Neodiprion lecontei: one gene and its partners. The protein of the gene in region 2 interacts with the protein of the main gene of each other region in a pairwise test. Links are inferred from orthologs where the notes say so. Each region holds a gene or a part of one and is shown on either strand. Other genes may lie near its edges.

What was found.
Region 1: the proteins of S-phase kinase-associated protein 1 (region 2) and F-box only protein 33 interact in a two-hybrid assay, tested with the Drosophila melanogaster proteins (2 studies listed by BioGRID). The link is inferred for Neodiprion lecontei from reciprocal best matches to the Drosophila melanogaster genes SkpA and CG4911.
Region 3: the proteins of S-phase kinase-associated protein 1 (region 2) and beta-TrCP interact in a two-hybrid assay, tested with the Drosophila melanogaster proteins (3 studies listed by BioGRID). The link is inferred for Neodiprion lecontei from reciprocal best matches to the Drosophila melanogaster genes SkpA and slmb.
Region 4: the proteins of S-phase kinase-associated protein 1 (region 2) and S-phase kinase-associated protein 2 interact in a two-hybrid assay, tested with the Drosophila melanogaster proteins (2 studies listed by BioGRID). The link is inferred for Neodiprion lecontei from reciprocal best matches to the Drosophila melanogaster genes SkpA and Skp2.

What each region holds. Positions count from the first base shown.
Region 1 is NC_060264.1:3,977,450-3,986,435, reverse strand, and holds the start of F-box only protein 33, read left to right. Parts: upstream 1-2,898; 5' UTR 2,899-3,510; coding exon 3,511-3,798; intron 3,799-4,143; coding exon 4,144-4,244; intron 4,245-4,331; coding exon 4,332-4,526; intron 4,527-4,598; coding exon 4,599-5,000; intron 5,001-5,081; coding exon 5,082-5,321; intron 5,322-5,403; coding exon 5,404-5,590; intron 5,591-5,753; coding exon 5,754-5,885; 3' UTR 5,886-8,986. Other genes in the region: uncharacterized protein LOC124292600, read left to right, coding at 121-315, 373-588; uncharacterized protein LOC107227470, read right to left, coding at 1,564-1,729, 1,806-1,921, 2,009-2,392.
Region 2 is NC_060265.1:8,166,966-8,173,506, forward strand, and holds S-phase kinase-associated protein 1, read left to right. Parts: upstream 1-3,549; 5' UTR 3,550-3,699; intron 3,700-4,602; coding exon 4,603-4,881; intron 4,882-5,059; coding exon 5,060-5,269; 3' UTR 5,270-5,288; downstream 5,289-6,541.
Region 3 is NC_060265.1:30,824,148-30,831,053, forward strand, and holds the start of beta-TrCP, read left to right. Parts: upstream 1-2,614; 5' UTR 2,615-2,781; coding exon 2,782-2,835; intron 2,836-6,906. Other genes in the region: acylpyruvase FAHD1, mitochondrial, read right to left, coding at 567-642, 912-940.
Region 4 is NC_060263.1:36,416,749-36,425,643, forward strand, and holds S-phase kinase-associated protein 2, read left to right. Parts: upstream 1-3,328; 5' UTR 3,329-3,467; coding exon 3,468-3,547; intron 3,548-3,698; exon of another isoform or gene 3,699-3,790; coding exon of another isoform or gene 3,791-3,816; intron 3,817-4,684; coding exon 4,685-5,008; intron 5,009-5,587; coding exon 5,588-5,873; intron 5,874-5,957; coding exon 5,958-6,394; intron 6,395-6,502; coding exon 6,503-6,630; intron 6,631-6,761; coding exon 6,762-7,108; 3' UTR 7,109-7,390; downstream 7,391-8,895. Other genes in the region: uncharacterized protein LOC124294177, read left to right, coding at 1-56, 700-844, 1,722-1,857; eukaryotic translation initiation factor 3 subunit G, read right to left, coding at 8,281-8,696.

The DNA of each region.
Region 1 (8,986 bases), on a different chromosome or scaffold from region 2:
GACAAAGGTGTAGAATTTTGTTGTCGCTTTGATAAGCCAACTTCGGTGATTAATCATGGTGATACATGGGCCTCAAATTTTTTGATTCGCAACTCTGCAGGAGAAAACCACATCGCTCTTATGTTAGATTTTCAATTGGCGCAATGTGCGAGCCCAGTTCTGGACACGTCTTTCTTGATTTATACTTGCACTGACAAAACATTACGGGACCAGCATTATGAGGATCTCTTAAGGCTTTACCACGACGAGCTTAGCAAAAACATCAGCCTGCTAGGATCAGTCCTAAAAAAGCCCTGGGACATCTTCGTGAACAAGGTGTGTCAGAAATGCAGAATATTGATCAAGATTTACTCTGTTTTTTCTATTCTTTAGGTTCAAGAACTAACCGTACATGGTATAAATGCTGCAATAGAAGCTGTGCCATCTGCAATGCTAGATTCGTCAGAGGTCTTTGATTTGGATGTTTCCCAAGGAGATGAAAGCGTCGATATTGCTGAAATTTTTTCATTGAAACCGATCAGAACTAAAGAGGGAATGCATCGACTGGCCGACGTCATCTTGCATGCAGTTGAAAAGAGATATTTATGAAATTCTGTTCTCTAGTTATACTAAGATATTAGATACCATAAATATCTATCCTCCAAACTCATTAGACAGTATCTAAGGCGCCTAGCTAGCTTTCAAATTACATTATTTTATAGAGAGAATAGAATTGACGAGGAACGATCATTTGATGGATGGGGACGAATTACTTTCTGCTGGTATATTATGAAGGAAATTGAACAATGACGAAGCACTAGTATACCTGGGATCAGTAATAGAGAAATTTAGAAAAATACTGGGAAAGTATATACAATATCATTATAGATAATATAATTTGAAGAAAATTAGTCCAGCTTTATCTTTTATACATTATTTTTATTATAAACCTTAGTGTTAAATAAAATATAGACATTCTGTACTCAACTATAATATTTATCTTTGAAACTTTAGATATTAACACGACTCATTTACCACGTGTTTTGAGGACATGTATGAGCGCAGAAAAATTTGAAATCTGATCACAGTTTTAATCATAAATTACAATAGTATTTTTATTCGGTTAAAATGAAAATTTAAGATTTACTATTATAATATATTGAATATTTAACCGAATAAAATGTGCTTGTATAGCCAAAAAATATATATATGTATATATATACTTACATATAACATTAATAACAAAATTTTGTGTCTATCATAACTTATACAAAATAAAGCTCAAAAACCATGATAGGCAAATTTAGTCATGTAGTTACACTCATGTTTACAGAGCATTTTCTATTATGAATGGTAAATTCACAATACATTTCTAATGGCATATTCCACACAAGGGGAATAAAATACGCCTTGATATTGCATTGCTTGGTTCAACATTCATCAATAGTGCAACATTCATTCAGTCTCATGCACTTGTTATCAATCGTACATATAAGGTTTCTTAGCGTACAAAGCAAATACAATTTGCCTCATCTTGCATACCTGATTCATTGAGTTGGTTGAAAATCGTGTCCCGCTCTGTGACTACGCAGTTTGCCGATGTTTGTCATGGATCCCTATTTCGCTGGCATCGAATACAGTCGTGTCGTCTTCGTCTTCGTCATCCAATGGCAATGGCCGCATTTCAACATCTTGCCTGTGCGCAAGGACACCGTACTTTCGAACCATTTGAGTACGATTTTTGCTTAACCTTTGAAGATAGAAAATACCGGATTAGCAATCTCAAAAATTACATTAAAATTGTTTTCTTTTCGCTTACAGCCCACCTTACGCAACGTAGGATAATATAGGCGATCACGAGTACAGTCAGACCCATGAAAACAGAAATGCCACGCCACAACGCACCTGTGTTCACAGACAAATTTGGGCCAAGTATTTGAGGCTGAAAGAATTATATACCAGAATATAGGCGAGCTGTTTGCAAATACTGAAACGTATTTTATGGTACATACAACGACTAGAGCGATACCTGTATCGTCGTTTGTGGGGCGGTGACGTTCAAATCAAGATTTGCCTCCTTTTTGACTTGATCAGTTAGTAAGGTTACGGTTCGATTATCTTTGGATTTAATGCCGCTATCACTATCTTCGACATTTTGGATAGGGGAATTTTTCTCCTGTGATGAGTTCGTAAGTTTTGAACTACTAGAGTCTGACAATTTCGAATCATCAGTGCTTTTAAAAGATCGTACTGGAACATGTTTCGACGGGTTGCCAGCCCGCGATTCAGGAATCGACTTTAACAAATTGCGTTTTGTAATAATCAAATTATCATCACAATTTGTTATCGTTATACACAAGCAATAACACGTGATTACTATGAATTTCAAATTTCGACCGGCAACACGCTTCATTCTCTTCTGACATTTAGAATGGAATCAGAAGAAAAAAATTTCACACGATATTTGGTATTCGTCAGCACTCGTTGACTGGCGTTGACCGCCGTGACAGGTTCGAGCTTTGATACAGACAGAACTTTGACAATTCTCGAGGCGCGTAACAACGATTCAATTCCATCATTCCTTATATTACATGCCGTAAATACATGTAAAGATTATTGCTAAAACGCGAACAATCAAATAAATATCTTCGTCATTCCTAAACTATTATTGTTGAAATTTTATATCCTCCTAAGACAGAATTTGACGGCTGATCGTTGCTATAAATATTCGTACATACATTGTGAAAAAAATATTTCAAATTCTTCACGGTGGCCATCTTGATTTCGTGAGAAGCGTTTGAATTCGTACGTCAAGTATTCTACACGAATTGTACATACCCGTGGTACAAACTTTTTTTTTTACAGATTAATCCAAGCTTCTAGCTGATATAGACTATCGCGTGACAAATATTTATACGGAAACGTATTATCCATCCAAATGTCAAATTCGAAAAGTATGTTTCGATATTCAAAAGCTCTTTGAGGAATATCATATTTGTGACCTTGCTGAATGACGTCACGAGTCGGGAAAGTCAATTTGTTTTTTTCAAACACATTAGATAACTCGAATTAGTTTAACGTAAATAATTCAGACATATTTTTCTGCAGTTTCATTGTCGATTTTCTGAGCATTCGCTTTGATCTAATTACGTTGTGTTAGCAGTAGGCATCGATTACCTTCGGTAGGGAGTCCGTATCATAATTTTAATCGTTACTACATATATTGTGGCAAAATGGAACAGACGCCACATACTCTAGATACCTGCAGGCCACGGTGTACATATTATACATAGGTATATGGATAGGTAAATGCGAAATGATGTTAACGTGTGTACGATATTCGCTTGTGCGTGCGAAACGTATGTGAAGGTTAATAACCAATCGGAACAGGCTAATACGTAGTTGTGTGTATCTCGAAGGAGAAACGCGACAGTTGGTCAAAGGGATCGAACGCAATAGTAATATCGTTGTAAATATTCAAAAGCGGGATCGTGCGGAGGTGAATTTCTACTAATCATCCGTAATTTGGAAATGGTGCGTAGTCAGCGAGTGGCTGGCTCCGATTCGCAATACGGAACGGCTGACAAGTCGTTGGATCTGATTGTGAATTTTCAAGAGTCAAAAACAACAAGCGAAGGCGAAGAAGGGCAGCTGTCATCAGGGACGGCAAACAGCTGTTCCTCTTGGAAAAGTGGTAATCGTACGACAGAAATGGCGCAAGAAGACAACAGTCCCTGCTGCTGGAACAATTTACCCAGCGTCATTTTATTCGAGATATTTTCCTACTTACCTCACGACGAAAAGATAAAAACATCACAAGTAAGCTCGCTGCCAACTTAAAACCGCAACCCGTACTTACGGTCACCCAGATACATAGATACTTTCACTTTCTATTCCCATTGTATACAAGTATTTTTTATTTTATTTACACTTTGCATAACGTACTCGAGTTTCATTTATGCAACTGATAATTATATCGAAAATTGCGGAAATATTGGGAGAATTTATTTTTTAAACTTGGCACCACCAATTTCTTGACAGAAAAAAATCTGCAGCCAACGTCGGCTATAATTATCCAAAATAAATTGACTTTAAACCGACAACTTGGTCTATATTTATTATTTGTTTTATTATTATTTTTATCATTATTATTATTATTTTCAGGTATGCAGAAATTGGAGGTACGCCCTTTTTCACCCTTGCTTTTGGAAGAAAATTACATTCACTCTGGACGTTAGGGACGAGGATAACATTCCGAGAGCTCGGTGTGTTTTTATATAAGCCGTATCCTAGTACCTGAAAGTATATGTATCTTGTCGCAACAGTAAGATTGAATTTTTTCCCATTTTTAGATTCTTGGCCAACTATTTTTCACACAGCGTTCGAGAAGTTATAATAAAATGTGACACCACTAGTTATTTTGTTGACGAGACATCCAGACTTCTTGCTAAATTAGGCACCAATGTACATCTTTGTAAACTTTACTTAGAGCCGACCAGCTGTACTTTTGATTGGCCAATGAGACTATTGATCAACAGAGATGAAGGGTACGTACTTAATCTTGTTGATTTTTTATTATTTCGTACAAAATTCAGTAACAGATTGACGTCTCCTTTCAGACGGCTAATCTGCACACCCGTGTTAGAACCTCTTTTAGAAATTGTCAAAAGAACAATATCCCTCCAAGCCCTGAGTCTGGGATGTGTGGAGGACCTGACCGCCAATTCGGGCGTAATTTTGGACGCGCTTCAATACCACCATGCAAAAAGTTTGACTCACTTGAGTCTAGCATCCATAAAAGAGGACCCTGATGGCTATATTCTGCTGGAATTGGACACTTTTATATTCAGGTCATTTGCAAGGCTCTCAATACTGACCATAGACTATGACAATGTCAGCGACACTTTGCTCCAGGCACTAGACAATGGTTTGATGGAACGACTAGTGATCCACGTGCATGGCCTCGACGACGATCATCCTGGCACCACAAATAACGCCTGGATGTTATTCGTTAACAAAAAGTAATCAGAAGTTCAATATTACCCGTATGCATGACTGCTCTTGTCTCGAAATAATTGTCATTTTGTTTATTCCGCTTATAGCCCACGCTGCGAGCTTCGTCTCAATATGCTGCACTCCTACGATGCGGTCATTGTTCTAGATTCAGACATTCTGAGACCAGCGATGCCGCTAGCAGAACTCAAGGTACTTTTTTGTGAGGCCGTTAACGTCACAGCTTTGCACCAACTGTCCAGCTGGTACTCGAAAACTCTAAGGTCTGTTGTCTGGATCGATTGTATAGATCTGAAACCATCCCTGCCAGCTACTTACGAGTCGAACAGGTAAGATTCACATCTACAGCTCGATGCCAGTTTTCATTCAGTCTTCTTAGTTTACCTGACCGTTATATACTGTTTAAAATAGACCTGACCCCTTGGTGCTCATTGCTTGGACCTGCACGAAACTAATGGAGCTGGTATTTCTTGGATATAAGTATTTCCAAGACGATCTATTAGCCATCACTCGTCTTCGAGGATCGACGTTGAAACGACTTGAATTCGCAGAGCGGGATATTTTGATCGAATCATGTTCAGCCAAAGCTACAAAGAATGTAAGTGTACAGCGTTCGACGTGAATTGATTTTTCATCATAAATTGAATTCTCTGTTGTCTCAAATTTTCAGCTTCTCAACTGTGATCGCCCAATGCTTAGAGTACATGTTGGTCTTATATTTGCTATAATCTGACTAATCGAAAATGAAACGGTTTTTCCAGGAAATTAGTGAAATAATGGGTGGGTTTTGGCAGCCATTGAGTGACGCGGAGTTACCGCCTGTCATTATGGATCCTCTAACTGGCAATAGCATTGAAGTTATAATGCCGATGGTTCTAAGAGATCAGAAGTAAGATTCCGATGAGAAATTCATAAACCATGTTTTCTACCACACCATCTATCAACAGAAGCCATTTCTGGGGACTACACATCTCAGAAACACAGGCACTAAGTCATATCCTTTATTTTTCTATCGATTTATTTTTAAGAAAGGCATACGATTCTCAAAAATCTATGATCTGGATGCGTTTACATGTTTGACAAATTTTTTCAAATTCTCAAATCCCAAGACCCGATAATCTAAATTTGACACTTTGTTTGTAACTCATCTAGTATGCCTAACTGCAGAATATGTACTTCAAAGAAGTAACGAGTCCTCTGAAAAATATTTATCAGGTATAAATTGTATTATGGAATTTTGAAAATATCTCATATAGCCATGTCAGACGTACTCCAAGGTTATTAATCATATAATAAATCTATCTCTGCCAGATTAACAAAATTTTTTGGCAACGAGCAGTAATTCTTGGAGTTTCTGTACAACAGTTATAAATCTGTAATTTGATAATAACCTATTTATAATTGCAAAATCGACGACGCTATTGTTTTTGAAAATTGATCGTTATTGCAAACACAAACGCATCCTAGATTAAATTTCGTAGGGAGGATATTAAAATGAGAAGATCTTGCGTCCGTAATGTCAACTGCGAGTATGATGAAATGGAATATTTTTAAAATAAATTACATTGAGAATTGTTATTACTTAACACCTTGGACAACAAGGCTTCGATACAGCCTCTTGTGACTCGGACCCATTACACAGGGTAACTAATTAAACGTAAAATCTTAAAATTTAATGTTAAACTCGCACTGACCTTACGGAATGTAAATAAACCGAAGGGGAAAAAATCTTCCAGAGCAGGCTCCGATATTCCATTTATAGTTAGAGGCGTTAATAATACTTTTCCATTAAACTGGGAATGTAGTATACTGCTTAATAATATAATAACAAAAAAAAATGAAAAAAATAAACAAAGAACGCAAGGCCAACCGTAAGTAATTTATAATTTTACGAAATACGGAATATTTTAATGAGAACTTGAAACTTTAAAACGAGGTAAACATCGTTTGGTAAAAAAATCAAATAGCTATCCGAGGTTATTTTTAATACCAAGACCAATCGGATTGGCTTTTCTCACGAACAGCTAAGCATTCGTGAAAGAGCTAAGAGCGCCGTAATGCCAAGAATGTTGATATCCAAGTTATTTATGTATTTCAATAATTGATAATCTAAATAGAGGCAAGGACAAAAGTATGAAATATAAAGCCTGAAAAATTATCTTCAACTATCTTTTTGCGATATAAACTTAGCAAGTTAGCATCGTAAATTAGGCATTCTTTGCGCTGCAATGTTCCGGAGATACAACAATCTTTTTTTCTACCGCGCTCTTAGCAGTCGTTACCAGCTAATATTGTTAATGAAAATTAGCTGTCAATATTGTAACTTTAAAATGTCGAATCTTAAATATTTATAAGGTGCAATACGTATCTATTTCTGTCGTGCGATTCAAGCGAGATTTTGAATGTTTACAAAGAAATACCCGTTGAACGAATAGATACAAAACAAGGAGGAGAAAAAAAACAACGCCAATCATATGTATACCGTTTATTCCGAGGAGCTATTTTACTTTTCGAATCCTTGTACGATTATTTAATTGCATCAATTGTTTATTATTCTTATAACTACATACATCTTTTTTTCATTTTATATGTGAATCTTCTACATCTCACGTATTAAACGTCGCGTACGTTAGTGTTATCTATAAAAAAAAAAAATCAATGTATGCTTGTTTGTTTGGAAGGAGTAATCGAGATCGACGCAGCAAATGTAAAATGAAATAGAATATTACCTTCTATTATCATACATACACATGTAATAGTTCAGCTGTTAAAATGGGCCTCAATATGTACCTGAGTCGCGTTAAGAATAATTTTCAATATGAAAATTTTGCTCGCGACGCCCAACAAGAATAATTCTAAGTCCGTTAAGCGTATGCGCGTGGCAAAATTAATCCTCAGATTGATTTCTGCTGCGTTTGATTTTGGCACCCGCATGCTCCTAATACCTCGTTGCTACACTTACCTCGAATATGAAAATGCAGAGAATGAAGCAACGAGATTTAGCAGTTTGATTCTGATCACGTATATGAGAAATAAGAAAAAAGAGTACTAAAGTAAAATAAATAAAATAATTATAAAGTGTGATGTTAAGTATAGAGTGGAGTAAAAATTGTTGTTTGTTAACCGTTGGTGCTGTATTATTTTTGTTAAATTTGATTCGTTAATTACTTTTTAAATTTAACAACCGAAGTCATAACAACAAGTGTATTTAACGGACGCGGCGTCTAAGAGAAAGAATTTAAAAAAAGTCTTGTAAAGTTGTTTAAGAACGGAACGAATGATATAAAAAATAAGAAACAAATAATAAGATTTAAAAAAAATATGCAGGGATACCCGCGCGTAGGTGAATAACGTGATATAAGCACCGTCTCTATTATATATTGTACAAAACTTCCAGAAGCCTGCACGGTCTTTTATGTAATAGTAAAATATTAAACTATTACTAACTCGAGACAAAATCATATAAGACTGAGCCTACAAACATAAGTAAAAGACCGTGCTGAAATAAGCTCATATTCATAGAACGTGACTGAGAAAACAAACGAAAAAGTTACTGTTTTGCTTTCAAGTTTATACAAAGCTAGTATCAAAAGCACAAACAATAATATTTTATCATTTTAACTTTATACATGAGATTGAGAGAAACAAAATTCATCCAATTCTATTCATACTCCCAAATTGGATTGGTTTGAGTTAGTAATGAGAACATATACATATATGAAGCACAAGATGAGATGATATTATTTGAAAAATTTTACTTCAACCGTTCTGTGTCTGTCATAATATATAGTTATCATTTTATGAATATGTGTTATGAGGGACGGTGCACAAGGTAGTTTAGATCTGAATATGCCCAATTCCAGCTCACTCGAATGTGATCTCCTGAATAATAAACTGTACAAACAAAAAAAAAAAAACAAAAAAGAAACAAGCCTGCCCATATCAAAAATGGTGTAAAATAGAAATCACAAATTGTGTAGAAAAAATTGCAAAA
Region 2 (6,541 bases):
AACTCAAAACACTTTTTATAGTGTTGACGTTTCGGCCCTGATGGGGGCCCTCCTCAGGGCCCGTCAACACTATAAAAAGTGTTTTGAGTTGTGACCTTCATATCCAAGAATAACATTAATCGGCAAGAATTATTTTCTGATAGAACTAATTTTTTATATATATTGTTGAAAAAATATAAACATGTATTCATTTTCACAGTTTATCGATCGGCACAAAGGAATATGGTAATAGTTTGAAGTTGATAAGCTCGCTCGATTTCGCAAACCATCAGCCATCTATAACTCTTACGAAAATAAACTCGCAACGTATAATACAAGTTGTAGAAATATTGATGAAATTATTTTCACCGAGGCATACCGAAAAGCAAGTGATTCCTTCCGACGTTTCGAATCTTTTTGCCCCCCGATATTGCTGCGTCATCGCCAGAAAAAAAAAATGCTCGTCGAAATTTTCCCTGTTCGTGCAGGGGCAGAAAGTTTGACCTTCTAAGTGAGTTGGAGTTGGGAAAGCAGTTATGCGCAATAACATGCCACTGACATTGGCCGCGATAATTTTTTGCCGAAACACAATACGTGACTTATTGTAAAATCTCTATTTTATCCATTGAAGTAGGATACCAGTAGCCTTTTCTCATCTTCCCACGATTTTTACTATCGAGCTGACTGAGACGTTGCGTGGGATGCTGGCGCCAAGAGAGAGACAGACGACTCTCTCTGTACACACAGAGGCTAGAGCGTACAGCAAACTAGGATTTGTCTATTCCCATAAATCACGGAATTTCACCATGTAACACCTTGAACTGCACAAACTTCTTACGTGATCCCGTGTGGAAAAGGGTGAATTTTTTCACATCCGCTTACTGCAACTCAGTCGACCTGTTCATAAATGAAACTTTTCAATTGGCTCACCGAATGAAGAAAAATCGTCTCGTTAAATGCACGCGATGAATCTAGTTTTAACGAATGTCGTGCATATATACTTCGGCTGCAGTTGCCGAAGCACGGATTGTTCGCAAAATCATAATTTAATTCACAAACTGATTATACTAAATTCAAACCTGCGGTGTGTCGTCCACAATTGACTTCCCACGTTTAATCACGCTCCAGATATTTACTGGCACTGAATAATCTCACCTTTGGCTTCTGACTCTAAAAAGTTTGACCATTGAGTGGAAAATAATGTGTTATGGAAACTTGGCACCGCTCGGCATCTACCGGACTGTATTTTATTCAGATACACGGGATCGGGTCACCTGTAGCTTCTGCAGTAGCTCAAGCAGTCAAGCTACTGATCGATTCCTTAGATTTTTTCCTAAGATTCCTTTAATACTGTTATATTAATCTTGAAAATTGGTCAAGTGGCACGAGTGCGATGCTGCGGGTTTCAATCGTCGTTGAAATCAACAATTTAGTTGACACTAACTAAACATTTTGCTAGACCAGCATATCTTGAATGCCGCCCGTGACCACGTATTTAGTTAATTCAATGACTTGTTTCTATTAGTGAAGCCACGAATAAGGTATTTTGCCAGACCCGATGTCCATTGCTAAGATGTTAGTGCCAGAGTTTGACTCGGTCAATATTGATCTAGGAATATTACTCACGTGTGTATAATTTTCAGTTGCAGGAATTTGCTTCAATTAACGAAATTAATACATTATCGGAATGATTGATTGAATTGGACACCGCTGAGAGCAATTCTAACAATGAATTACATGATCTTACGAAGTCACACAAATTGTTGAAATAAAAAATTGGAGAGCTACAAAATCGACGAAAGTTAAATATTTTTTGTGACAACATAGAGTAAAGAATAGGATAAACAGAGAAAGTCTGAGTGTTTTGACCTGAATCTTTCTTTGAATGGTATACATGGAGAGAAAAATTTTATCTAGAGTCTATCGCAACGTGAGACTTTTTTCGGAAAGAGTCGCGAGATTTTAAACAAACATCATTTGAAATATTCGATTCCAGAAGTTTCTGTCAGAAATGTTTTCACGTAAAAACATGTCGCAATTTCTACACTTTCATCGTTTATGATTCCAACTTTAACGGAAGCATAAACTGAATAACTTCATTAAATCGCCAATAACAATTGAAGATATCCCAATAAACCAAAATGAATTGAATAGAATTGAGTAAGTCCGAAAACCGAATTAACTCGATTTGAAGCGAATTGAAAATACTTACATATGTGCGAATTCTTTTGAATTTGTTTTAATTTCTTTTTTCCAATTCATGCCAATTCTGTTTTTGCAGTACTCAATTCGATTTGATTTACTGTGATATCTAATTGCAGGTTTTGCTATCTTCAAACCTAGCTTTTCGTTAATATTGGCACAATAATTTCGTCGCAAGTATAACGTAATGCACGAGTTAAAAATTATTATACAGCTACAGTCGCTGGACAGATATTTCTCTTAAGACTTATTTAATGCGTTTCATTGGGAAGAGCTTCTGGTCCCGTTATAAAGTTGAAGAGGGCGAAGAGCAGCACTTATTTTAACTTATTGTTCGTACTCATTCAGTTGGAGCAATCATGATTAGCTGCTCTACCCTTTTCTAGCTCGACTAACAGACTCAATCAAGAAAGCTTTGTTTTAATTTCATTAATACGCTTCAGTTAGTTTATACTAGACGCGACCAAAATACTTGAATCGTTGATTCTCTCTACGATTCTAGCCCAGTAAACGATCCTTCGCGCTCTTTACACAGACCACGGCGGAAAAATTCCGACAATGGCGATCCGTTCTGGGTCAGCGATTCAATCGGGCTTATTTAGCGTTTTATTACACAGAATAATGCAAAAATTAACGACGTCAGTTCTCTAGGATGGTTATAAAGTTCAAATGCAACGTGCAAGTTTTGTATTTTCTGACATATTGGGACACGGTCATTTTCTTAATTCAAATTTGAATGGAAAAGTCGAATTACGGAAAGTTTATGCTACTTAATAGGATAGAAAGGCTGCAAGTGACTGTTGCGGACTAGGGACTTTTATATAAGCCTAGTTGGTAAATTTGAGACACAGGAGTGAGAAGCGACGCTCATAATTATATATAACCCACTCAATAAATACTTATTCTAAAATACTAAACTATGTGTTATCACTAATATACGGCAGTACCCGCACTTGAAAATTTGAAAAAAACAGATAAAAGCTGTTTTTTCTTCGCTCCATAGTTATTTTGTTTGTGGAATTCAAGCAAAAAAATGTGAGACTTACAGCCATTTTAAATTTCCTTTTCAATTTACTGCTCTTCCAAAATTTTCCGCAATACGTAAACGCAATTCATAGCGCCCTACGCCAGTCGGCTGTTTTCAGCATATTAATTCTTCAAAAATAACAAATTTAAAATCAAATCTCAGTAAAGTATGAGTTTTATTTTCCAAATTGTAAATACTCAACATGAAACACGATGTTTGATCGCTCCAACAACGCTCAGTTTGAAGTGTTCCAATTTTGAAAATTTAAGCACGGTCCTGACTGCCGACAGCGCCATCTATGAGCCGTTGCGCCTGCGTGTTGCTGACTGAAGTTTGTCGTCGATGATCAGAGAGAGATCGCAGGGTGAGCAGAAAGCGAAAAAGAGGGAGGTAGAAACTAAAGACTAGAGAGTGTACTAGAGAGCCTGGCAACGTTACGCTGTGATTCATTATCGGTTTCACACAACGGAGAATTGGAAGTAACTTGAAAGGTAATTCGATAATTTATTTACGGAGCTTCTTGCCTCGGTCAAAACGTTTGTAACAAAACATTCGCTGGGCATTGTTTATCGCCTTGAAGTTGGAAAAGTCGTTGCACGGGAAATCGGCTAATGGACGAATATTCGTTGCCCGCGCATGTTGTTATGATTTATAATTATTCGTCGATTTTCAACACCAGACATGAGCTGCTTTGCATTAAACCCTCCAGGAACGTGTCTTCTCCGCATATTATGACCGGATACGCCCGCCACTAACGTGCCGTCGAATTTTATTGGGTTTATAACCCTTATCCAAAACCTTGGGTCAACGGCGAACCTCATTCTCGCAAGGTTGTTGCCGTGCGCGCCAATATCTTATCCCTGTGGTCGACACTCGCTACCTGACGTTTCCTGCTCGACGTTCTCATCCGTAAAAATTTTACTCGCTGCGGAGAAAGACCGAATATTCTTTTTCGAAATTACACGAAATCAAACGCGTCATTGTCCATGCAGCATTTTTCGTATTCACTTCGTGCGTCGGAATTTTCATAACGTTGTATGACTCAGATTTACAAGTTATAAAAATAAACATACCCTCATACTTTTCGCGGAAATCGATTTTATTTTTCAGTTTTTTTCTACATCAAAAATCTCTGTAATGCTATGCGTAAGCATTTTTCAGTTCAATGCGTTGAAAGAAAATGTTTACGTCCATGTCCCAAACTCAATTCACTCTGTGGTAAACGGACTGAATGACATTGAAATGTAGTTTATACACAGATCGATAACATGGACTAGGAGTTGTTCAAAGACAAAGAAACTTGTACACATAACAATAATAATAGAAGAAGGTCGATTCTTGTACCTGAAATATTGACGTAACTGAACTTATGTTTGTCTTGTTTTTAATCACAGATGCCGAACATAAAGCTGCAGAGTTCGGATGGCGAAGTATTCGACGTGGATGTTGAAATTGCGAAATGTTCAGTCACGATAAAAACCATGCTGGAGGACTTGGGAATGGATGAAGATGAAGATGAAATTGTTCCCCTACCAAATGTTAACTCTGCTATCCTGAGAAAGGTCATTCAATGGGCTACGTATCACAAAGATGATCCACCACCACCTGAAGATGATGAAAACAAGGAGAAGCGAACTGACGACATCAGCTCTTGGGATGCTGATTTTTTGAAGGTCAATTTTGCATTCAATCAAAATGCTAATATTATAATTAATAAGAGACACATTCCTTTCATTTGAAAATTTTCTTTGACAATTTTTCACTCTTAAACATCTTTGAAACGTAGTCTGTGCAAGATTCATTATAGTTTTAACGACAGCTACTAATTTGCTTCGTTTTATTTATTTACAGGTTGATCAAGGAACCTTATTCGAACTGATTTTGGCAGCAAATTACTTGGACATCAAAGGACTTCTAGATGTAACGTGCAAGACTGTGGCAAACATGATAAAGGGAAAAACACCAGAAGAAATCCGTAAGACGTTCAATATAAAGAACGATTTTACAGCTTCAGAAGAGGAGCAGGTTCGCAAGGAGAATGAATGGTGCGAAGAGAAGTAGAAAGAATCCGAGGAGGGACGAAAGAAATGCTTTCTAAATCATCTGTAACTGTAGGTTTATCGCGTGTTAAATCTGAAGATGTCTTTCGCAAACTCAAATTTCAAGCTTGTCGCAACAGAAAAACTCACCCTCTGAAAAATTTAGCAATAATGGAATATTCCTGTTCCAGCCGAGTTTCTCCATTTGCGTACAATATCCCTAATTCGAAATTAGAAATACCAGCAACAATTGCTTGGAGAAATAAATTTTTGCAGCTGATATGAATATTTTCTAGGTATGCTGGCTACGTTAATAGAAAGATTTACATTCTGGATACAATTTCTTTCGGTCTGTTTTCACTCTCTAATGGAAAACATGATTTTTCGGTTTAACGATCCATACCACGAAAGTATTAATTTAACAATAGCACGATTAATTTCTGTGTATAATTAACCAAGTATAACTTCAGTCTATTTAAATATCAATATCTTCGAAATCTGTTATATCTGCATCTCATCTGTGAAGCTTTGATCTTCTTCCTTTAGTCCAATCTCTTGTGAATACGTGTATCGAATCATTTGATAAAATATGTGATTAACAATGTGACTGAACTTCGAAATAATAATAAATTAGCTATCTTTTTGTTCGGAATGTAAAATATCAGTTAAACGAATTCGGCAATGCAGAATTAGTTTTTTTTTCCTCATTCAAATCTGCTGTACTTCATTCTTCTTAATTTAATTACTTATAAAATATATCAACCCTTAATGTAAACATTAGATCCTATAACAAGAAGAAAAGGGTAATATTAATATGCGTAAATAATAAAATTCATTTTTCGTAAAACAAATAATTGAAAACTTTTTTCTCAAATTCGGGATCACTGATTAAGGTGATGATAGCTTGTTTCTGTTTCCCTCATGTTACGGATTTGAAGGAATGAACGTATGCGCGCACCATTTTCTACAAAAACAAACAAGGGTGGAAAGAACTAAAATTGAATTGTAGGAAATAAATGTCTGCTGTTATTTCCTTTTCGTACATCAGCAGCCCAGCCTAAAATAATAGAAATTGAATTATCCATACGAAAGGTAAGCATTAAATATTGATCTTAGATAATGCATTGATTGGGTGCCGTTCGTATTATGCGAATTACGAATGTATTTAAATTCAAGTAGAAATGAATGACGGTTGTAATCCTAACCTCAAATCAAAGTATCGTGAAAAAATACTTCCACAATTGTCAGTAATCAACCACTTGTTGATCTGGTGATTATATTCAATCAATTCAGT
Region 3 (6,906 bases), about 23 Mb from region 2:
CATTTGTAAATTCAAACGTAGATTATTATATCAGTATAGCTAAACAAAATTCGTTCTCGCGAATGCCGAGTAAGTGATGGTTACCTGTCGCGGTGCTCATTCCACTTTCAACAACGTGCAAAATTTCTAACTTCGACTAACCCATGGTAAAATAGATAAATTGCAAAAAAATCATTCGACTGACAATGAAAGTCAAGCACCGTTGCGATCGCGAATGAGCCTATCCATGCAGCTAAGAAATCGAAGATTGTGTAGCAATTTTTACCGCCACGCCACGTAACAGACATAGGAGTTCCAGGGAAATACCCGTAACCTAACACGTGCAAACTCACCAACGTTGCCGAATATTGGAGAAGTTACTCGGATGTCTCTGCCCAGCTCTGGAAAGAAACAAATAAGAAAACTCGAATTAATTCAAGCAGACTGGATTTTCGGTTCTGAAATTATTTATATTTTTGTTGTCTACTTCCATATATATTCACTGCATGTTAAACAGGGACAGAAATTCGGTTCCAAACATACCACATTTAATTATTAAGCAATTATTAAGATAAGTTAATCCTTACCTCCTCTGGGTTGCTCCTCACTTTACTGCATGTAGGAGTTCTCGTAGTTGAATCGTCAAGCGACGCACTTTTGACACTGCAATCAAAATGTAACCGATTATTACTCACACAATAAAGCTAAATCATATTTCGTATCACTAAATACTGTCTGTTAAAACAATTTTGTTTTCCACGATTATATTTCGGTGGTTTGTGATTTGATAATAACTGAACTGCAGAAACGAATGATAATAGAAGGTTAATCAAATTTTTACATGGTAATAAAGGATTACAGTATCGTCGGACTCCAGGAAAACAATCGGATAAAGATGGAATCGGTGACTCGTAATGGGTAAAAATACTCACCGATAAACACGAGCCGCCGCGCTACACATTGTAGCAGTATTTCCATTCGCTAAAGTTCCGAATTTTAGTTTTTTATGCACAAAAAACAACGGCAGTACGACCTACGCACTAATAAACGCGTTACAATTACATTTTATAAACGTAAAAGGTTGACGTTACTAACGTTATCGTAACGAAACATTGGGAAAAAATCACTTTTTTCTTATTTTTATAATGAGTTTGAAGGAAGTGAGATTGCAAAATGTTGGTATTTTTTATTTCATTACGGTTCACTGAATTTCAAGCACTTCCAAAATCTCAGAATAACGGAATTTCCGCACCACGAATGCTTACCGGTAACGTTACTAACTTCAACATGATACGCGATCCGCGATCCGAAATCCGAGAAACGATCTCGACAGCCACGTTTCGCAACGTCCGTTTTATCAGAACATGGGAAAAATTACCGCAACGGGAGATTATCGTAGCCTTGTCTCGTCAGAAAACGCTTGTGACTTGTCAAAAGTCTGCACGAAAGCACTCTCAATCTGTCCAATAACGTATCTAGAAAACTTTGGAAAGTTATATAAATCACGAATCCACCCCGTAACAACACTTGATCATTCTCACTTTCTGTACTGTAGTACGTATGTTCGTTGGTTGCCTCAACCGACAGGATAAACTCGGTAACAATACAAAACTACGCATTTACCGGTCATCAGCAAACAAACAAAAAAAAATGACGATCGCTAGAAGCTGAAGTTGCACAAAACAATGGAAAGTCGATACACAAAGCGCACCACGCACAAAACTCACGTACAATGTTCATAGGCTGTTTTCATTCAATTAACTCATTTTTTCTTCGAGCCAGACGCTGCCATTCGTGTATTATTCACAAATAAGTTTGGTGGGAACACACTGACCAAATAACATGATCAAGTTTGCCTGAACGGCGTGATTTAAATTCCGAACTGATCGCGCGCGTGGTTTCACTCCGGCTGCTCGGATACGACTGGCACCGATTGGCACAGAGCGATCGGATTTTAAGAGAATTTTCGTATCACACGGAGTCAGACGTAAACTTGGATTTGATGACGACTTTCGACCGAACAGAATATGTGTGAAAATACATTTATAATGAGGAGAAGAAATCGCAAAACATTCTCTTTTCTGAATGTACGAACATAAGATTTAAACTAATTCTAAAATAATGGGCGCTTTGCTTCTGCGTTAATTTTTTAACACAAAACGATACCAAGTGATTTCATTGGCCTATTCTATTAAATCCGATCGATGATATCACTTATTGTCGATCTGTGTCAGGAAATTGATGTAAAAGAAAAGGCCCCCTTTGTTATTGGTAAAGCAAAACAACAAATATGTATGTATACAATTGTTAACGGAAGAATTTAACCCTTGGAAAATTTTCGTGACGATTACTCGGTAGGTAAGTGGTCTTGCCGCCGTACGAAGCCGTGTCAGCGATCCGGTAACTTCTTCATCGGCCGCTCGCGAACAATGCTCACGAGAGACTCCCAGAGTGCCAGCATGTAATACAAGTTCGAGTCGCCATCTATGATCGAGTGTGGATAATTAGTACTAGCTATTTGGTAAATAACCAAGGAATTCAGCGCTGCAGCCAACAAAGAAGTCCGAGTCCACGTAGCCGCGATACGGTGCATAGTTATTTGCGATTTGTTATGTTGGTAAAATTCCGTACATCGACTTCCTGTGCATGGCGAACACCCGAGCAGCGTTGTCCGCGGCTGCGAGTAGTCCAAGAGTGTTGTCGAGTGGGTGTTAAACGTTCGCAGAGCCGTATTGAATCCGTTCAATGTTAAATCGTGAGTTATAGGTAATTAGTTTATCGAGGATACAGTGTGAACCGATAATGATTAACATGGAAACAGACAAAGTAATCGAGGACCCGAACACGTATAGTCAGGTGCGTATCAACCGACCCGTATTTTCCTCCCGAAACAAACGGCCATCTTATGTTTCTTAACCGCGGAGGGAATAGGAAACCGAAACCTGCCTCCCCCTCACTATTTTCACACCATTTTACACAGCGTTTCGCTATATTTAACCTAACTATTTTTTCCCCCGCGTTAACCGCTCGTCCTATCAAATAATCAGTTCCGGAGGTTATGAGACGTCGCTCCGATTCAACGGGATGCATCATCGTCAATTTCCCTCAGCTATCGTGCATACAAGACGTGCACACAAACACACAGTCACACACACACACACACACACACTTGGTCATTTCTATCCCCACATAGGACGCATAAACCAATATCAGTACTAATCCAAGCGGAGTGGACTCGTTAAAAATACAGAACAAACCGACCAAAGTAACGAAGAAAAGAACATTCTTAAAGGCATATTTTATTTTTCTTGCCGTGAATGAAAATATGTTCAAAATAATATTTGAGGTACCAATTCGTAAACTTAGATACCCTATTTTCCGAAATATCACTATTTGACGTTTCTTCCGTGAATATCAAAATTGGTTAATCAAATAACACGAAAAAAAATAATAACAATGTTTTTCATGTTGTACAGAAGAATATGGCAATGATAATAATTAATCTATTCTTTCGACGACCCGCGCAAATTATTACGTACTTTAGGAGATAATTAATTAGTTGTTGATATTACTTTTCACTTTCTTTGTAGGACGAATATTTTCATCAACAATTCATTCTGAACTACATCCGACGAAATACCGTTACGATTTAAATATTTTTCTCTCAACAAGTCGAAAATCATCGTAATAAAGTACCACAAGAAAAATAATAAATGTTTTCGCCATTTTCCTTCCGTACAGATTATTTCCGATTCAAGCGTAAGTCAAAAACAAAGAATCAACGACCTTTGTTGATTACTGCATAGAAAATGAATTTAATCGTCAGTAAACCTCTGCAATATTCTAAAAACAAAGAAACACATTCATCAGTAATTTCCGTCCAGTTATTTTTCTTCACAAACTCTACAAAAGTCACAAAGGTTTCAATCCGTGAGAATGTCGCATTTCGGAAGTACCTCGAACAAGTAACTGTACAAATTCAGCGTTCAATGGGGGAGGTGAGCACCAGCGATGAGAAAGCACAGGGGTCAAAGGGCGCGGGGTCTCCGCATAACACGAAACTGTGTATCGTTTGGCCCCCGTGTCGGTTAGGCGTATATTTATACATATGTACGTAATACGCTACATAGACGTATGTACAAACACAATGTATTACGGTCTCCTCGACGCGTCACCGTTATACCGTACAGTTTACATGTCTCTTATACCTGTGTGCGTATTCGCTTTCTCTCCCTTTCCCTCCTTTTCCCTCCGCTTCTTGAAACAAAGGAAAAGAAGAGGAAGAGGAAGAACGAGGTTCTCCGTCCCGTTTCGTTTCGTTGCCAACGTTGCGCTGGCTTGCTCCGAGAAGAGGGTCAAAGGTGAATACGCAACCGGGGCGAAAAATCCCCTCCCCCATCCCTTCTGTGCCGTTGATCGAATCCACCCCCTCTTTCTTCCTTTCTCCTGCAAAGCGTCGCCACAGCCCCCGAGAGCGGGTTACTACATAATCAATGTTTTAGTCCCCCCCCTTTCACGACCCAACCCGAGCCACCCTCTCGGCAGTCAGTCAGTTCCACTGTTTGTCGGTGTATGTACGTCATGCCGTGCCACGGCCCTCACACCCTTGCAAGTACGTGTGTATGATATGCGTACACAGGGGCGTAAGTAGGCCAGAAATTCGACACCCGATCCGTCGAGCGAACCCTGATCAACGTACGTGATATAACAATGAGAGTCTCAATATCAAAATAACAAAGGTAAAATCGCGGTGGAGTTTAAGAGATTTTTGATTGAATCGACGGTCGTTTCATTTCTATCTGGCTGAAGTTTGTAAAGTTATTGCAATGTTGTGTCTTTAGAAAAAGTCGTTATTTTGCAACTTTAGGATGACTTGATATTTAAGCAACTGTTGATAAAGCATGAACGAACTCTGATTTTGTAAATTCAACTTCTCCAGTTATTCTTAAGGTGCAAAATGGTAATTTTTGTTTCAATCTTCCGATACGGTAACGTTGCTAACCGCAGCGACGTTTATCTTTCTTCAATTTTTTTTATCGCATCGCAAAGGGATGCCGGGTGTGTTTCAATCAAGTTCAAATCGATTGAATTCAGAAAGCATTGCCCTGGTTGCTAAAGCCGGCACGATTACTCTCACCTTAGGATGTGTATTATGTACGGTACGTGTCAAAGTGTTGCAGGTACAATTACTTGATTAATTAATTCATTAATTTCCCTCCTACGTCGTAAAGCCTGTGTTCGCATAATACGTATGTGTATTACGCCACGCGGGTGTATAATTTGTACAACGTGTAATTAATTCTTCGTCACGTTAGACGGCCAGTGCCGCGAAATTTGTTCCACGAAACAGAATCAGGTCTGCTTTGCGTTGGCGGGCTACAGAGTTCGTAGTTTTCCCTGTTGATTAATTATGGACCTTCCTTAACATATATATATTGTTTTGTTTGAAAATTTTCCGCAGGCCTTGACAAGCTTCTGTCTTCCGTGTACTTGACTTGCTTTAATTAACGTGGATCGATAACTAGAAGATCGAAAACAAAGATTACAGTAAGAATAGGAAAAAGAAAAAGAATATTATACGGACGATTCTTACCGCAGCCACGAAATCCAACCTAATCGTTATGTAGCATTAGTTGCAGCAGTCACGGATAGGTATAGCCGATTAATTTCGTTCCAGCAAATGAGAGAGAGTCGATTCCGATTCATGTTTTCGACCAACCGCAGCACAAAACTCGATTTTCTCAATCTAGGCTCGGTTTTGATCGGGCATTGACAAATACGATCCGTACTTACGAAATAATAATCACTAAGAAAAAAATAAAAGAATGACGAAGCTTTGTACGACAAAAGATAATTAAAACCAAAGTATAACGAAACAGTGACCAAACTTCGTATACAAAAGAGCGTATGTACATATTGTACATATAATGAGATTGAGAATTCGGCTCACGCGTAAATCCTATCACTTTGTGTTACGATCCGGTATACACGTTGCTCAGGAACAGTATACCTAGAAACTTTTGACGAACTCTCAAGGTTGCGATTGAATCGCGGTACCTACACCCGAAAGCGACGGATTATTAAGCCCGGAGATGGTCAAGCGAAGGACACGTAAGGTGGTGCTGACTGCTCACCTATTCATCCCGGTGGTTCTTTTTTTTTTTCACCTTTTTACCATACATGTACAACTCTGATTGGTGAAGGTCCTGCGGAAATTTTTTTCTTTTTATTTTTTCTTTTTTTTTCTTATCCATACACTGGGTTACGTAGGTATAAACCCGTCCTTTCATGGTTGCGAATTACGCGCTTCAGGGACACGACGCATCGAAAATAATGATTGTGTACAAAATATTGATACGTGAATATGTAGGTACGGAGGAAGCCTTGAACTCACACATCCGCATCACGGGTCTTTGGTTACTTCCGATTTCCGGTTAAGTACGCGAGGTTATTGAACAACGCGTGTAAAAGAAGCTTGAACCTGCATGTATCGAAATTCGGATCTCTCTGATCTTGCTCCGGTATTTAGAGAGAATTGATACCAGATTGAAGTTTAGTACCTAACGTTGATGTAGGGAATTATCGAAACTGAAACGATTGTTTTGAAAATTTAGCACGGATTTGAAGAAGCTTAATTTACAAAATCTGAATACACTGCTTTTTAAAAATATACTACTCAATGTTGAGACGATCCTACATTTGCGAAATAATGTTTCCTGAAAATAAGTCGTTGTATTAACGATACGAACTTCACTCTCTTGTATTGTTCAAGTCCGAAGAAGTGTTAAATTCACTCGTATGGTGCATTCACACAAAATTTCAGCCGTAATTATCGGTCGGTAGTCACTGTTTGCCTGTCGTCGATTTTTTCCTTTCACGGAACGCAATTGCGCTGGTATATAACTTCATTATTATTATAGTTATTGC
Region 4 (8,895 bases), on a different chromosome or scaffold from region 2:
TTTCGTGAAGCAACAGGAGAGCGGTCGATCAAATGTCTCTATTTGCAAGACAACCGGTAAAGGAAAACGAGTCGATTTTATTTATAACAGCGCGTAAAAACCGCCCAATTCTTTATAGTTTTCACGCGCGTGAATGGAAACTCGCGTTTGAATTATTTGCTATAAAATTCACAATGTATGAAATATACTGAATAAAAGTTGGGGTATAAATCAACTTCCTGGTTTCATAAAACTCATTTTAGTTCGTACAGCAACAGCGAATGCTGATAGTCGTTATAATAGAAACGAGCAATGCCCTGTTTTTTATTCCTTTCTTTTTTGTTGTCATGACTCGGTGCAGAGTTTCAACATGAGAAGTCTGTATGACTAATTCTTCCTCAAACTCTGTATAAGAAGAAAAAAGACTTTCTTTGTTCTTTGCGAAACACATTCGATGGACGATCAAATTAGTAACTTGTTAATATTTGATTAATCTCGCTGAATATCGGAAATTTTTACATTTACATTTCTGATTATTGTCAATTACTGATGATCAATTAACTGAATTGAATTTCAGAAATTTCAGACATTCTTACCGCTAACTTTTTTCTGGTACTCATAAATTTTGTCCGTTTCTATCGCCGGTTACATTTAAACCAACGATAAGTTGCAGATTTATGCTCGATATTCTGGTTGTTTGGTAGTCTGTTCTTATTCCAGCCAACGTATTAACTCCGAAATTTTACTCTCGCGATGCGGAGCCATGCGATTCTCCTGAAATCAGTCAAACAGTGGCCAAAATCACCGAGGAAGAGCAAAGAGTCCCCAAGACGGTCCACCGTTGGCCCCTTCTTACCAGCCATACGTGAGTTATCAAATCTTCAAAACAGACAACAAGAATTAATGAAATAAAATGAAAAAAATGATAGGTGTTGAATATTTGTTTGTTACCGCCCCGGAGTTACATTACATTAAATAGTATAGGTATACAGTACACGTAGGTTGTGAAAGTCGGTATTAGGTATGTCCTACAATTAGCACCGAAAGCTGTAATTGCAACTTTCTCAAAAGTAAATTAAAAACCTATTTAATAGTTAACATATTAATCTTTCTCATGCGCGGCACGAACTGCTGCGCTTTCCCTATTTGATATCGGATCCAGTATTTTCCGCTTATTTTCTTCTCATTTCTACTGTTCACCCGACTAATCTTGAACTTCGAGTTTACGGTTCGGTGCACTGAACTTTCTTTCCAGATCTAAACGCGTCGCGGTAACATTTGTCGCCCTACATATTTTCGCCTCGAATACCGTTGTATGAACTCAACGAATATCTCAAGTTGCGAATGAATCGGATATTACTCCAGATTGGTACGCTAAATATCTGAATAAAAATAAATTTACGCCTTTGCAAAATATAACAATAATTCTTTCGAAGAGAGAGTAAAATCCTTGAAGCAGATTGATCTCCGATTCTTATTCTTGTAGTTGTTAATTAATTTTTAGTAAATTTTACTTTCAATTTCTTACTGTAAATTAAATCACCGTCTTTTGTATCATATACGCAGGTATGTCAAAGCATGCGTAGCCAATTTAGATATTGCCTGCCACTCCCGCCCATTATACATATAGTACGTACGCTGTACTATATCTGTACAAATCTACTTTCTTGTGTGCCTGTAACAGATAATAGTCCTCGATTACCACTATTATTATCGTTGATAAAATAGCTATTTTGTTCCAGGTATGGCTGGTGGCACGATAGGGGAATACAACCGACAGACCCACGCTTCAACTTTCATAAGAAGACATCAGACATGGTCAGCTACCAAATGAGGATCTACGCCATAGACAGGAAGTTGAAGGGTCTCGGTTATTAACCTACGCGAAAGAGTCGGAGCCCCTATTGTGGGAAAACCTAACATTGTATAATATGATAGTGCGGTTAGATTTCTAAAAAAGTCTGCATACTGTAAAATTTCAATTTTCCCGTACTGACAAGTATGCTTATAGTTTGCACGACAAAAATTACATACCTAGAACTGCAAATAGATCGGTCGTAGTGTTTTCACGTAATATCTGATTTTCGGCAAGGCTAATCCTCAACTCAACGTTAATTGCGCCTTGATTATTAAGTCAATTGGCATCCTTTGACTGGACGTAAGCTACGTTCTAACCGAGGGTACGATCATTTACTTTGGAATAGATTTTATTTATAAGCATATTGGCCACAGGCGCGATTAAATTTGTTCAATGTGTACAAAGTGCGATACGTAGTCCAGAATTTATCTGATAACGTATGCTTCGTCTCCAATGTTTGAGAAAAACTTCAATTCTATAGTGGATGGAAGTTATAATATATCTTGCGAGTAGTTTATTAGACTGTCTTTATTACAGTATTACATAATACGAATGTCACGAATATCTTGTACATTAGTTTTTATTTTTGTTGATTATATACTTATTTTAGAAACGAATAAAAATAGTAGTATAGTCAGACACGCAGTGATAACGGGAATAATAAACTTCATTTCTTCACCTGCACGAGTTGCGTACATTATCTTCATTGATGTGACTCGTACGAATAATATTTTCAATTCAAAATTACGCAAAGCGCAATTGCTTCTTCACTGCCTCCAAGAAGGCGCATTTTATTATAATAAGACCTAATGTGGATATATCTTTATAATTTATTATCGATCTCCTCGGTATAAAGTATAGGTATAAAAATATTTACTGAGCATTATATTCACGATAAATTATTCCTCACCCGACTATTTATCTATACACATGTTTGTATTTTTTTCTTGATAACGAGGCGGACAGTAATAGATTTCGTATTTCGAGGTGGACAGTAATAGATCGAGTGGAATATCCCTGTGAATTTGAAAAAAATTTCATGGTATTATTATTTTTGTAGCAATAATTCACTGAAGTACGGATTTCTCAGATTAAAAATTTTAGCCAGATTGGAAAATTCGCGCAAAAACTAAAGTGATATACTTGATGACATGCGTTAGTGGTGAGAAATTTTAGTTGCCAAAAGCTCGTCTCGTACATTTTTTCACTCAATTACAATTACAGTGCCACGTTTAGTATGAATTATCTCCGTTTAATCGCTACTACGCGTAGCGGTTGAGCAACCGCGTCGTAGCCAGTGGAGTTAACGCACTACAAAACGACGATATAACAGGCGTACGTGGCACATTTCCGTTTTACGTACGAGTGTGGAGCGTGAAAGGGTTTCGAAGATTTAAATTTTGGCGGGATAGCGGGACCACCAATCGATACTTGCAAGTCGATACAGTGAAGTCGATGGAGTTAAATGAACCAATAGAATTGCCGGATTTGTAGTGACTCCATATTTCTCGACGAATCTCGAACTAAACCGGTCAATCGGAGGCCGCCATTGGCGATTGTTTTATTTTCTGAGTCCGTGTCGCGATAGAAAAAAAAGTTAACGTAGAAGCTTGTCAATATTCCGCCAAAAATGAATCCCGGCGTGGAAGAGGACACGCGACTTCCCGAGGATTTAGTGGATGATATCGATGAAATATCGCCGCCGGAAAGGTAAGCGAACGCTCATAAATACTGTCGGTAATTTCAGGAATTTCTTCAACCTTAAATTATTCCAATTCCGGCTGTCCGACATTACCTGTTGCTTTGGAAGCGCAGGTGCCAGTCTTCCGCGCAGGTGAGGTTAAGAAATCCTTGCTTGGATTTTCGACCTCAAATCACAACAAACCTTCATACTGACCGGGTCTATATTCTCAAAGTCGTTTACCGCGGTTAACCGACAAAACCGAGGCTGCAATGGACCAGAACAGTTGGTTCCACAGGTTGTTTTTCCCTCCAAAAATACGCACTGCACTTGGGCCCTTCTCCCTTTATCGTGATTTATTTTTACGGTGAAAAGTGGCTACACCTATACCTAGTTTTTGGGCAGATGTTTAGATTCCGTGTTCAGAGAAGCAACAAGTGACCATCTTGAAACTGATCCCTCGTGTAGTCGAGCTTAGCTTTTAGCCACGAAAAAATACGGATACACATTTTTCACCCTATAGTTACACACGTTCATCTTCTTCGTATTTGCCGAAAACTTGAGTCGGCGTCAGAAATCCTTTATTGAGAAAATTTACATTTTTCTGTCAACTTAGGCTACTGTGGTTTTGTATATCAGTTTCCCCATTTTGTCTTCTACCTTGTTATCTGATACTCGATTTCTTTGTGTATGAATATTCTCTGTCTGCAGTCCTAGACAAAATCCTATCATATCACAAATAATACTTATCACCCAGTCATTCAATTTTTTTCTATCTTCAGTTATTGTTTTAATTTATTTCATATCGTTTTAAAATCATCAAAAAGCATTGTTCTTAAAATTAACAATTTCAAGCTGGCTTCTCATTCTTACAGAGTATCCATATTCAACGAATATGAAAGTATGCATTAACGTTCAACGTTGCAAAAGTAAAAAAATCATGGAGACTAACTTCAAGTGAAAAAAAATATTTCGACGTTCTGTGCTCAATTGAAGAACAGATTTTATGCCTAGCCTATATTTAGGAAAGTTAGAGACAACTATTTACCGTTTTGATTAAATTGATTCATGGTACTTACAGTATTAAAAATGCTCATTGTATTCATTGGGCACTTGCTTTTTTTATTGTCTCTGAAATTGATGCATATTTCATCTACAATCTTTAGCAAGCGTATACGGTTGGATGATGGCTCTAACAACAATCTCAACAGCACGTTAAATAGTGCAACAAAAAACAATACACGCTGGACTTGTGCAGGAGATACAAGTCTGGTAGAGCCAGAGATTCTGGAAGATATGGGTGTCAGTATGTTGGAAGACGAAGAAATGAGTGGCGGATCAGTGAAAAAATTGAAAACACACGAGTGCACCATCTCACCAACTGGTTCTCAGAACAGGAGAACGCAATCTACAGAGAATGGAGATATTGTTTACGGAAGTCACAGTACCATGTATCGAGATTCAAGTTTTGAGACTGTTCATTTAGAGAGGTAGGTAATATCCCTTATGAAGGTAATTTTTACATTTTCGATCTGTGAACAACCTTAGCAGAATTGTGATCAAAGCCCATTTGTACATTATGTGGTAGAACTTAGGGATCCAATAATAGGAATGAGATATCTCGCTTGTGACTCATTCTGTTTTGAATTCTTAGCTACTGTTAGAAGAGAACTCATTTCATATTATGCAATTTTGCAAATTACAGTTTCCATACCACAGTAATGAAGTAATAGAATTCATGAACTCAGTTTGATTTATTCTAATCAAGGTTGAAGGTAGTAACGTTATCGTAACGAAACATTGGGGAAGTAATCACTATTTTCTTAATTTTACAATGATTTTGAAGGAACTAAGATTTCGAATCATGAGTGTTTTTATTTTGTTATTGTTTATTAAATTTCAGACAATTCCAAAGCTGTCAAATTTGATGCTATTTGATGTTGTTTTTTCTCAGCATCAAACGTTACGATAATGTTACTAACTTCAATATGATTAATTCTTGAGACGAATGTTCATTTTCACGGCTTTGTAATGATTGGTTATTAATAAATTTAATAACTTGTTCACAGATCAGAGAGATCACAAGATCCATTTGAGTTGGAGGATGCTTCTGTATATTTGTCTATCGGCAATGAGTCTGGTTATTCGTCAAGAGTTGAAACAGAAACATTTGGAGACATGAAACAAAGTTTCAGCAAAGATGAATTGGGAGACATGGTAGATAAGAACGGATTGGATCAATTTTATTTGTACAGACGAAAGAAAAGACCGTCTATTACTGGTGAAGATAAATTCAACAAACTCTCTGACGAAATGATTCTGATGATCTTAAGGTGGCTTCCGAAAAAATGCTTGGTAACCACCATCTGAATTTTCTCTACAACGTGCATTTCTGTTTCTATTTTTACGTATTTAAATATTTGTATAATCTGTCTTCAGGTGCGTTCAATGCTTGTTTGCAAACGATGGTGTCAGATTGCCCGTGACGAGGCATTGTGGAGTCGTTTAGACCTTGGTGGTAAAGTTTTGGGAGAAGGAACCCTGGGACATATCCTGCCACGAGGTGTTCAAACATTGAGACTGGCTCAAGCAGAAATCGCAGACCCAGTATTTCAGCCAAGCAGTGAAACTCTGAACGAAAATTACGTCAGTAAGCTGCAATACCTAGATTTGTCAATGTCCGTTATATCGCCTGATGGATTGGCAGCTTTGTTATCCGTGTGTAAATTTTTGAAAAAATTATCTCTCGAGAAATGTACACTGAATAGACTTTGCTGTACTGCTATAAGCAAAAATCAAGACTTGGAAGTTCTAAATTTAACCATGTGTGAAGGAATTGATATAAAATGTCTCCAGGATGTTCTAAAATTGTCAAGGTGAGGTACTTGCTTCCCAATTTATACTTGTTATTTTTTATTTGAAAGCTGTAATCTCAGTCTTATTTTCATTATTGTTACCTGTATAACATTTCTTGTTCATTTTAGATTGAATGCTCTTAACGTTGCTTGGTGTGGCTTGGATTTAGAATGTATGACATTACTTTGTCGACAATTACCAAGCACCATTACCCGGCTGAATATTGCCGGATGTCGGAAAACCATGACAGATGATAGTAAGTATATAAATATATAAATATAAATATACATAATAATATAAATATGTATAATAATAGGCTATTAAATACTATGACCCTCGACGAAGTATTTAAAAGTTTGTTATTTATTTATTGACTTATTTTTGCAGATGTCAAAGAGTTGGTAAAATGCTGCCCGCGTATCATCGAACTCGATATGAGTGATTGTACAATGCTTACAATCAATGCCACCCAAAGTCTATTAAGCCTCACAAAGTTAGAACACTTAGCCCTAAGTCGCTGCTACAGTATTCCTCCTACCACTTATTTAAGACTAGCTCACATGCCCTGCCTAATGTACCTGGACGTCTTTGGATTAATGGCCGAACCTACTTTAGATACACTGCAAGCAAGTTGCGGAAATACTGAAATAAACAAGTTCCTATACAGTTCAGTCGCCAGACCGACAGTTGGTGTTAGGCGAACGAGTATTTGGGGTCTTAGAGTTAGAGATTAGGAAGCTAGAAGAATTGAAAAAAATCTCATTTAGTGATTTACGAAAAACCAGAGAATTCGACTAGTAGTAGGTATAGTTGATTACAAATCGCGTTTTGTCGCAGTAACTGAGAATAAATCGGACTTAATCTCTCGTAAATACGAGTAAACGATTTCTTGAAAACTGAAGTAATAATAATAAAGTAAAAAGTTCATTAAGGTATGTATTTCGAAAGTAGTGCCAGAAAGCGGTAATAGAATTGATTTTCATTTTTGTAAATAAATTCTCATACAAGACGATTAACACAATAACATAATAATAATAATAATAATAATAATAATAATGACAATAATGTTGTTAATGATCAGTCAATTATCTGCCAAATGTGCTTACTTGTTGAATATCAATTTTTTTTTTGTATAAAATCGCGAAATTCAGCACTGTAAAAAACCTGTAATACTTTGAAAGGTAATGATTATTTTTATAAATGATATTAGGAGAATTTTTCTTTCTTATTTTTATGTCACACAGTCCACACATTGTAATCTGCATAACGTGAATTAATGAATTTTACAATGCTTCTCCCGACATGAGTGATGTGAAGCGAGTTTGATTTCTTGTGATTTTTTTTTTTGGAAACCCATGATACTAGATGTAAGAATGTATGTATACTATTTTTAAGATGGATAGAAAGGAAAGTCCTTTGATACTAAAGATAATTCGGTATTTTCCTTTCTTGCATCAATATAGTACCGAATTTTCCTGGAAATCCGGGCTTACTGGATGATTATATTATTGACGACTATGTGAATTAATTATTATTATGTATATTCTATAAAAATGAATCATTATGGTTAATCTGAGTTCAATTCTCTTTTGCTTAGTTTTCAGCAATACCCAACTCACTTTAAAGTTATTTTGTTGCAAGTGTGTAACTATCAATAATCAGAGGAGTTATATTTTGGACAATTTATTAAAGAATCAAAGATACAACTGCAGAGATTGCAAAACAATACCTTGGTTACTGAAACGTGGAATCCGTTCATTCAATTTATATATATATATATAAACATTGAAATATTTGATTATAATTTATTACACAAGATACATATCAATAGGGTCTTAACGAATGATCAATTATTGCGTCAGAAGGATTTAATCTTGTAAAACGGAGTCACATGCGCAATTGACATCTAATTACTTTGTGTGGGGGGTTTGGACCAGTCCACATTTAAAATAAGGTGATCGTAACCATGTCCATGTAATTGAACAATAGCTTTAGCAGCATCAGCTCGGAATTTATAATGAACATAAGCAAATCCTTTACACGAATTAGTTAGCTTTTCCTTAGCAAGGTACAGTTTTTGAATTGGTCCAAAAGGCTTAACAAGCTCTTCCAAATCGGCGTCGGAAGTGCTTTCAGAGAGGTTGGAAATTCGGATCGCTGTTGTATCGTCACGCTTCGTCATCTGCATCGAATCTCCACGTCTATTACCGCCATCTCGCATATTGGGTGGTACGTATCTACTACCCTGAGGTTTATTTAGATCAGACATTGCTCCAGGTGCTCCTGGCACTCCAGCTGGTTTCTTATCATCTGGAACTTTACCTGGAGTAAAACATTTCAAGATTATCAGTAAATTAGAAAGATGGACTGAGAAAAGCTTAATTCTCTTTTGGTACCGAACACAATTACTGGTTGAAGGTAAAAATATTTTAACAATTGAATGGTCGGTTCATCTGAGGAATAATAAAATGTTCAAACTTTAAGGACGCAGTTCTAACATTTGGAAAAATGTTTCCTTTGA